Linked DNA regions of Canis lupus familiaris. The protein of the gene in region 2 interacts with the protein of the main gene of each other region in a pairwise test. Links are inferred from orthologs where the notes say so. Each region holds a gene or a part of one and is shown on either strand. Other genes may lie near its edges.

Region 1 (3,643 bases), on a different chromosome or scaffold from region 2:
AAAAGGCAACTTGGAGTTGAGCTCCTGAGCCCAAGAACCATCACTCTCTTCAGGATGCCTCAAAAAACTGTTATCTCCACATCAGGCTAGGCTCAAGAGGAGGCTAATGCTTTCCTTTAAAGCTCTGACTCTGAGCTGACCATACCATTTGCTTCCTACTCAAATGTTCAAGTTTGGACACACCGATTTCTAAGAAATCTAAGTCAATGATCTTCTCATCTACTTTAAGAAAAATAAAATAATCCAAGCTAGAGATGAGAGGTGCTTAGCCACAAAATTCAACATGTGACTGAGGCCAGGAGGGAAAATGAGAGGGAGAGCAGGAGTTGGGGCAAAGAGAGGAAAAGGAGAGAGAAGGAAAAGAGAGAGAGAAAGAATGTGAGAGAAAGAGAGCAAGCAAGAGAAATTAGGTAAGTGGTATGGGGAGAATTAACTAATGTAAAGTAATATGATTGACCAAGTGATCTCTTTACATTAGGAGATCAAAGAAGGATTCTTTCAGTAATAGCATTTGTGTTCAGCCCTAATTCAAGACAAAAGGCTGCCATTGACAGATTACAGAGGACATTCCAGAAAAAAATCAGCAACTAATGCAAAAAAACTTGAAGTTATAAATTGAATGAGGAAGTATAATCTATGAGATGTGCTGAGAGATGGCTGTTGATAAGTGGGGAAAGTAAGAAATCAATGATAGCTGTTGTACTTTTTGATTGAGCAATTAGGTAGATGGTGGTCCCTTTTCCAAAAATGGGAAAATTAAAGAGTTTTGGCAAGGAAAAAGTCAAGAGTTGTACTTTGGCCATGTTCAGTTTGAGATACCTATTAGACATCCATGCGGGGATATCAAGAAGATACCGAGATGACATACTGGATATTCAGATCTAGAGTTCCATAGAGAGGTTAGGCTAGAGATGATGATTCGAGAGGTGCCTAGATGTGCTTAAGAGAATGTGTTTTGGGCCAAGACCCTCAGATTGTCCAGGAACCCCTTCTCATAAAGTTACTAAAAAGTACCTCACCTGACAGGTGTTATTTCAGTTCTGTTGAAAACTAGTTAGTTGGAATTCCTGATCTTTTCATACCAAAACAATTTTTAAAAAGAAGTAATACTGAATAGTTGTGATATTACGGGAAAATAAATTTTATTCACTGGTTCCATAGAATTGCAAATTGCCTGCTCTACTCAATGTACATAACCCTTCTTAAGAGTGAGAACATAACCCTTCCTATCTGCTGGACCCAGGTTCACATAAACGTTATCTAAGCCAAACACATCTTCATCTATTAACAAGTTAATTTACAACGTTCTCTCTTCACAATGGTATAAATAACTAACTGACCACATTATTATTTTTAGCTTCACATAGTTCACTGGAATTCTTCAAAGTACTCCAGCTTTGCTGAAGCTGTCTCACAGGCTGATGGTTTGGCAATTATTGCTGTTTTGATGAAGGTGAGTTACAGAGAGTTACAGAGATCGGCTAACACTATTTCTTACCAATCAGACACCAAAATAGTATAAAATAAGGCAAAAAGATATTTGAGTCTTTCTTTTTTGAAAATGTTTCCATTCTACTCATGGCTACAGGTGAGCAAACAGCTCCCTAGTACTTTGCTGCTTTGATTTCTCTTGGCTTCTACCTTCTTAAGAGAATTAAGTTTCAGGTAGGGATAGAATGGGAAGGTGTTGGAGGGAGAGGGAACTTCTATACTCCAAATTTTCCAAATTCCTTTTCCTCTAAACTTCCTATTTCACAGGCTCAGGAATTTACCAATTTAATGCATCATTAGGGAAAAAATATTAAGAGGATTATTGTCCCATAAAGAAAGTTCAGTTAAGGTTTAAAATGGCTGGTGTTGCTTAAATCCTCTCTAGGAGAGTCCCTGAAAAGTTCTATAGGGAAGTTATTATTGAATTGGGTATACTTGGGTCTTTTGGGTTCTGCTCCCCAAATTCCGATGTGCAGATATCCCCCACACCTCTAGCAAGCAATTCTTGGACACCAGCAGGCATCCAGACATTCAGCTCAATTTTGACAGTGTCCATGCAGAGATAGCCTCAGGTTCCACAGGTTGAGGGTTCAGACTTACAAGATTGCAAGTTCCCCCGCGCACCTCCGGTGTCAGTCTGCAGCCCACATTGTTAGTGGGGCTTCCGACTTGACTGACTATAAATCAGAGTTTCCCATGACCTCTTCCTTGGCTTGGAAGAGGTTAATTAATTTGCTAGCACAGCTCGCAGAACTCAGAGAAACATTTTACTTACTAGATTACTGGTAATTACACAAGGATATAACTCAGATGGAAAAGATGCACAGAGGAAGGTATGGGCAGAGGCAAAGAGCATCCTCGCCCTATCCAGGCCCACTGTCTCCCCTGTATCTCTCCAAATTCACCCATCTGGAAACTCTCTCTACCCAGTCCTTTTGGGTTTTTATGGAGACTTCGTTATTTACCCACGACTGATTAAATCATTGGCCTTTGGCAACTGATTCAAGCTCTAGTCTCTGTCCCCTCTCCCGTCCCCAGAGGTCTGAGGGTAGAGCTGAAAGTTCCAACCCTCTAATCGCATAGTTGGTTCTCCTGGCATCCAGCCCTCATCCTTAGATTCAGTTCAAAAGTCCCCCCAGTCAACATAACAGAAGATACCTTTATCACTATCACTTAGGAAATTCCAAGGGGTCTAGGAGCACTGTGTCATAAACAGGTTTCTTATTATAAATATCGCACTTAGGTGGCTAACTTTTGGAATTATAGTGATTCTAGTTAACCTTTATTGATCACTTACAACGCACCAAACACTGTACCGATTATAACTAATGAAACAGGCCCAAAGTAAGAGGTTGTGTTTGGTGTCACAGTTCCTGGATTTTGCTAAGTTCCGGGATTTTGACTTGTGTGTCCTTGAACATCTTGACCATATTAAATTAAAATCGAGCTTTTTGTTTGCCACTTTCCTTGTGCTGGGGCCAAACCACCAACATCCCAAGAAGTCAGCAAGAAGGAGAACAGCCTATCGACAGAACTGATAAAAGTGAACTTTTGCATAGTGACCACTTCACCTGCCCAATCAGTGAAGTGCGAATCCCACCTTGCTGGTCAGCACACATGAACCCTTCTCAAAAACTACTTACGTGATCTTCCTTTTCTTCCACAAATACCCCGAGTCTCTGTCCTGAAATTGGAATGCTATTTGGGTTTCTACCCCAATCTGTGTGCCCCGAATTGCGATTCTTTGATCTCCAATAAATGCGTTGCCCCTTGAGCCAGTTTCTTGTTTTTTGGTTGACAGCAGTTACACATCATGAACAATTCATTTATAGAGCACAAGGGCCAGCAAGGACCTACACCAAGCAAAATTCCCTCTCTGAAAGCAGAAAGAAAGTGTCTTCCCTTCCTTCAGTTACTGTTTTTAATCGGAAAAAAAAAATTAGCTAAACACAGTTTGACTTTATTACAATTTCTAACTCACATTTTTTTTTTTTATCTCCAGATTGATCAAGCCAATCCAAAACTGCAGAAAGTGCTGGATGCCCTAAACGCAGTTAAAACCAAGGTCAGTAGACTAAATATGTTAGTTTAAATCAGAGGATAAGAATCCACAGAACTACTGAAATCGTTTAGTCACATATTTGAAGTGGAG
Region 2 (4,229 bases):
AGTGTTGAGCATCTGCCTTCCACTCAGGGCGTGATCCAGGAGTCCTGGGATTGAGTCCCACACATCAGCCTGCTTCTCCGCCTCTCTCTGTGTGTCTCTTATGAATAAAGAAATAAGATCTTTTAAAAAAAATCTTAAAAAAGAATTATAATTGTAATTACGCGCTTGTCTTGAGGGATACTAATAATGTCATAAAGTTCCTGACATATAGTTGATGCTTAATAAACAATGGACATTATTATTTGGTCTTAAATAAAGGAAGAAGGTGGACCGGGTATGGTTATCCCCACTCTGCAAACGAGGAATCTCCATCTCAACGAGAGTAAACGATGATTCGAGAGTCACCGGACCCGTTAAGCGAAGCCGCCAGCCCGAATCCTGATCTTCAGACCACGACCTTTTAAAAACTACAACTTTCAGCCATCTCCTGCTTTCCCGTCCAAAATGCGTTAGGGGGAACGCGGAAGGTGAGCAGAAGCGGAGTCTTGACCTTCGGAGAGGGGGGCTTAAGGGCAGGGAGTATTCCAGCCGCAGAGGAGCGCCTACGGGGAGGGAGCGCCGGGGAGGCGGCCCGCGATCCTCCAGGCCCGGGGCGGGTCCGGTAGGCCCGGGGCGCAGGCCGCCCCCGCGCCCTAGAGCGCGGACTGGGAGCCCGCGGGAGGCAGCGGCCAGGTAGCCCCAGGCAGGGCCCTTTAAACTGGAGCCACCTGCCGCACGCGGGGCCCTCTCCCGGACCGCCCCGCCCATCCCGCGCAGCTAGCCAATCAGCACTGCCCGGTCCCACGGGCTCGCCTCCTCATTGGCGAGCCGCAGGGTGACGTCACGGTCTCCGGACCCGCAGAGGAAGAGGGCGCCCTGATTGGCTGGCGCCGGGGAGGGCGGTGGGGGGGACCCCGGCGAGTCTGGGTCTCCAGCCGCTGCTGGGCTCTCCCCTTCCATGTTCCGAGGCCGCGAGGGGGGCGGGGGGGCTGCTGCAGGGGGCGGGGAGTCGGCTTGGCGGACCCCTGGGTTTGGTTCTGCGAGCCTTGGGGTTGAGGAGGGCTGACCGGAAGTGAGCGCGGGGCTGACCGGAAGCGAGGCCTGGAGGGGAGACAGGGAGCGAGCGGGCGAGCGGGCGAGCGGGCGCGGGTCCCCGGAGCGAGGGGGCTTCCCGGAGAAGGGGCCTGGCGGGGGGCGGGGGGGAGGTGCCGGGGCGGCGTGCGCGCGCCGGGCGGGCAGCGGGTCGCTGCTGCGGGTGTGTGCGGAGGGCAGCGGGGGAGGCCGGGGAGGGGGAGCGCGGGAGGCCGGGGCTGCCTCGGGGGCCCGGGGCTGGGGGAGCCGAGGGGCCCTCGCGCGGCTGCGGGGGGCTGGGTGCGAGGGAGCCTGGGGGTGGAGGCGGGAGCTGGGATTAGTGGTGCGGGCGGTGCGGCTCCGGCCTGGGGTGGGCCCGAGGGGTCTGCGTGGGCGACCTCGGGTGGGAGGGAGTCCCCGACAGCCCTGCGCCCGCGCCCCCCGCCCCGTGGGGTAGAACCCCACTGCTCGCCTTTGTACGAGAAGCAGCGGGGTCTCCTGGGGCAGGGAAGGAGCCAGCATGGCCTGGGCTCTGAAGCTGCCCCTGGCCGACGAAGTGATTGAATCCGGGCTGGTGCAGGACTTCGACGCTAGTCTGTCCGGGATCGGCCAGGAACTGGGTGCTGGTGCCTATAGCATGAGGTGAGTGAGCTTGCTTTTTTTCTCTTTTCTGTTTTTTTTTTTTTTTTGATCCAGACCCTTGCACTCTTCTAAATAACAAAAGCAGGAAAGAGAATGGAAGGTGGTGTGTGTGTGTGTGTGTGTGTGTGTGTGTGTGTGTGTGTGTAGGGGGTGGGGGGTGGGGACAAAGGGGGAGGTGTTTATAGAGTTAAATAAGCCGCGGTTAGGGAACGTGGACTCGTTTCTTTGTTGCTCTGAATAGGGACTGTTGTGAAAGAAAGGAAGCCAGAGGTGGTGGGCAGCGTCAGGTCTGTGCGGGGTCAGTGGAAGATGCAAGAAGGGCCCTTGGTTAGCAAAACAGGTGAACGTGCACAGGGTGTCTGTCGTGCCCAACGCGGGAGACTTAGAGATGCGAGAAGGGGGCGACGTGGGGCCTGTCGGGGATGTTCGGGAGTCGGAGAGCTGGGGCTGAGTGATGGAGGTCGGTTGCCTGCTTGTTGGGAGGAAGAGCGAGACCTTCCTTGGGCGAACAAGTCCACGCATCGGTACTTTGGCCGGCTCTACGGATTCAATCTGGGAATTGTTTGCCTTTTTGAAACATAAGCTTGGAAAAGGAAAAGTCTCGGATAACTTTTAGATACTTCTGGACTTTATAGTGCATCCAGGCAGATGTTGATAACAAATAAAAATCTGCGAAAGTAGCATGACTTCTTCCCATGTAATTTATTTGCTGTGCGTGAGCTGCTTCATTCCCCAAGTAGAGTTGGTTTCATTTATGAGGCGTACAAGAGTCATTCTGGGACTGTTGAGACATCTGCAGCTTAGCGTGGGGTGGAATATAATTGGGTTTCCAAGTGCATTTTTCAGGCTGAAGATAAATAAGTGAGTTTTTTTTTTTTAAAGATTTTATTTGTTTATTCATGAGAGACACACAGAGATTGAGAGAGAGAGAGAGGCAGAGGGAGAAGCAGGCTCCATGCAGGGAGCCTGAAGCGGGACTCGACCCCGGGTCCCCAGGACCATGCCCTGGGCTGAAGGCAGGCACCAAACTGCTGAGCCATTCCAGGGATCCCTCTTTTTTTTTTTAATATATATATATATTATTTATTTATTCATGAGATACACAGGCAGAGGGAGAAGCAGGCTCCATGCAGGGAGCCTGATGTGTGGGACTGATCCCGGGTCTCCAGGATCACACCCTGGGCTGAAGGCAGATGCTGAACCGCTGAGCCACCCAGGGATCCCCAATAAGTGAGTTTTCAAGAGACTTTAGAACATCACAGTTTGAATTTACAGATTTATAGGGGAAGGGTTTTTTTTTTTTTTTTTTAAAGGGGGAAAGTGGACAAATTTTATATTCTGATAGTGAGATCCTTTGAGAGTTATGTAATGCAAACTTCTTGTCTTTGTCCCTGTCAAACCAAAATGGATTTTCCTCACTGAAGTAAAATGAGTTAGAACTTAATACTTCATCTTCAGTACTCAGAATAATAAAGGCTATCCTTCTATACGTATTATAGTGATTTTTCAGGGAAATTTAAGTGCTATCATGCGATGCTAATTAGGGTTGAGAAATTTAATTCTAGTTTTGCCTGTCCTTGTTTACATAAGTCTGCCCTTAAAAATAGAGATTAGCTTGGTCTGAAAGTAAATGTCCCAATCCTGATCTTGTACAGCAGTAGCTGACATAATATTTGACAATTTGTCCTGCTGTTCATGTAAAGACTAACACAGCGAAAAGTTTGGTTTTCTCTAGATTATTGGAGGATGAAGATAATTAAATGTAACTGTACTTGAAACTGTATGAAAATAGTTAACATCGGGAATCCCTGGGTGGCTCAGCGGTTTAGCACCTGCCTTTGGCCCAGGGCTTGATCCTGGAGTCCCGGGATCAGGTCCTGCATCGGACTCCCTGTATGGAGCCTGCTTCTCCCCCTGCCTGTGTCTCTGCCTCTCTCTCTCTCTGTGTTTCATTAATAAATGGATGAAGTCTTTAAAAAAAAAAGAGAGAGATAACATTGTCAACAAACATTGTGTACATCTGTTATGTGCCTTCTGTACCAGCCAACCTTACATTTAAAAATGCTTTCCTATGTCATATACCCAAGTGGTCATCACTGGTATTAGTACCACGGTTTGTGTTTTTACACATTTAGAATTTTTTTTCCTACATCAATTGTATAAGAGTTTTCAAACATAACTTTGTTTTCCCTAGAGCACAATATGCCAAAACTTGAAGTATATTCTCTTCGTTTCTTTCACCTTCCTCTTTTTTATGCATTTTGCTCTTGTCACTCTTCTCTTGACTCTGATACATGTTTAATCATTTGCATTAATTTGTATTTTTTTAAAGATTTTATTTATTTATTCATAAGAGACAGAGAGAGAGAGGTAGAGACGCAGGCAGAGGGAGAAGCAGACTCCACACAGGGAGCCTGAAGTGGAACTCGATCCTGGGACTCCAGGATCACACCCTGGGCTGAAGGCAGCCCTAAACTGCAGAGCCACCCAGGTGCCCCGAGTTCTTAGATTTTGATGCAGATAGTCCAGCGACCACA

What was found.
Region 1: the proteins of TFCP2 (region 2) and CA1 interact in binary tests that used the Homo sapiens proteins (3 or more experiments, as listed by UniProt). The two-hybrid records come from large-scale screens. The link is inferred for Canis lupus familiaris from reciprocal best matches to the Homo sapiens genes TFCP2 and CA1.

What each region holds. Positions count from the first base shown.
Region 1 is NC_049250.1:32,469,813-32,473,455, reverse strand, and holds part of CA1 (carbonic anhydrase 1), read left to right. Parts: intron 1-1,357; coding exon 1,358-1,453; intron 1,454-3,493; coding exon 3,494-3,556; intron 3,557-3,643. UniProt on the Homo sapiens protein: Catalyzes the reversible hydration of carbon dioxide. Can hydrate cyanamide to urea.
Region 2 is NC_049248.1:42,972,692-42,976,920, reverse strand, and holds the start of TFCP2 (alpha-globin transcription factor CP2), read left to right. Parts: upstream 1-1,282; 5' UTR 1,283-1,570; coding exon 1,571-1,692; intron 1,693-4,229.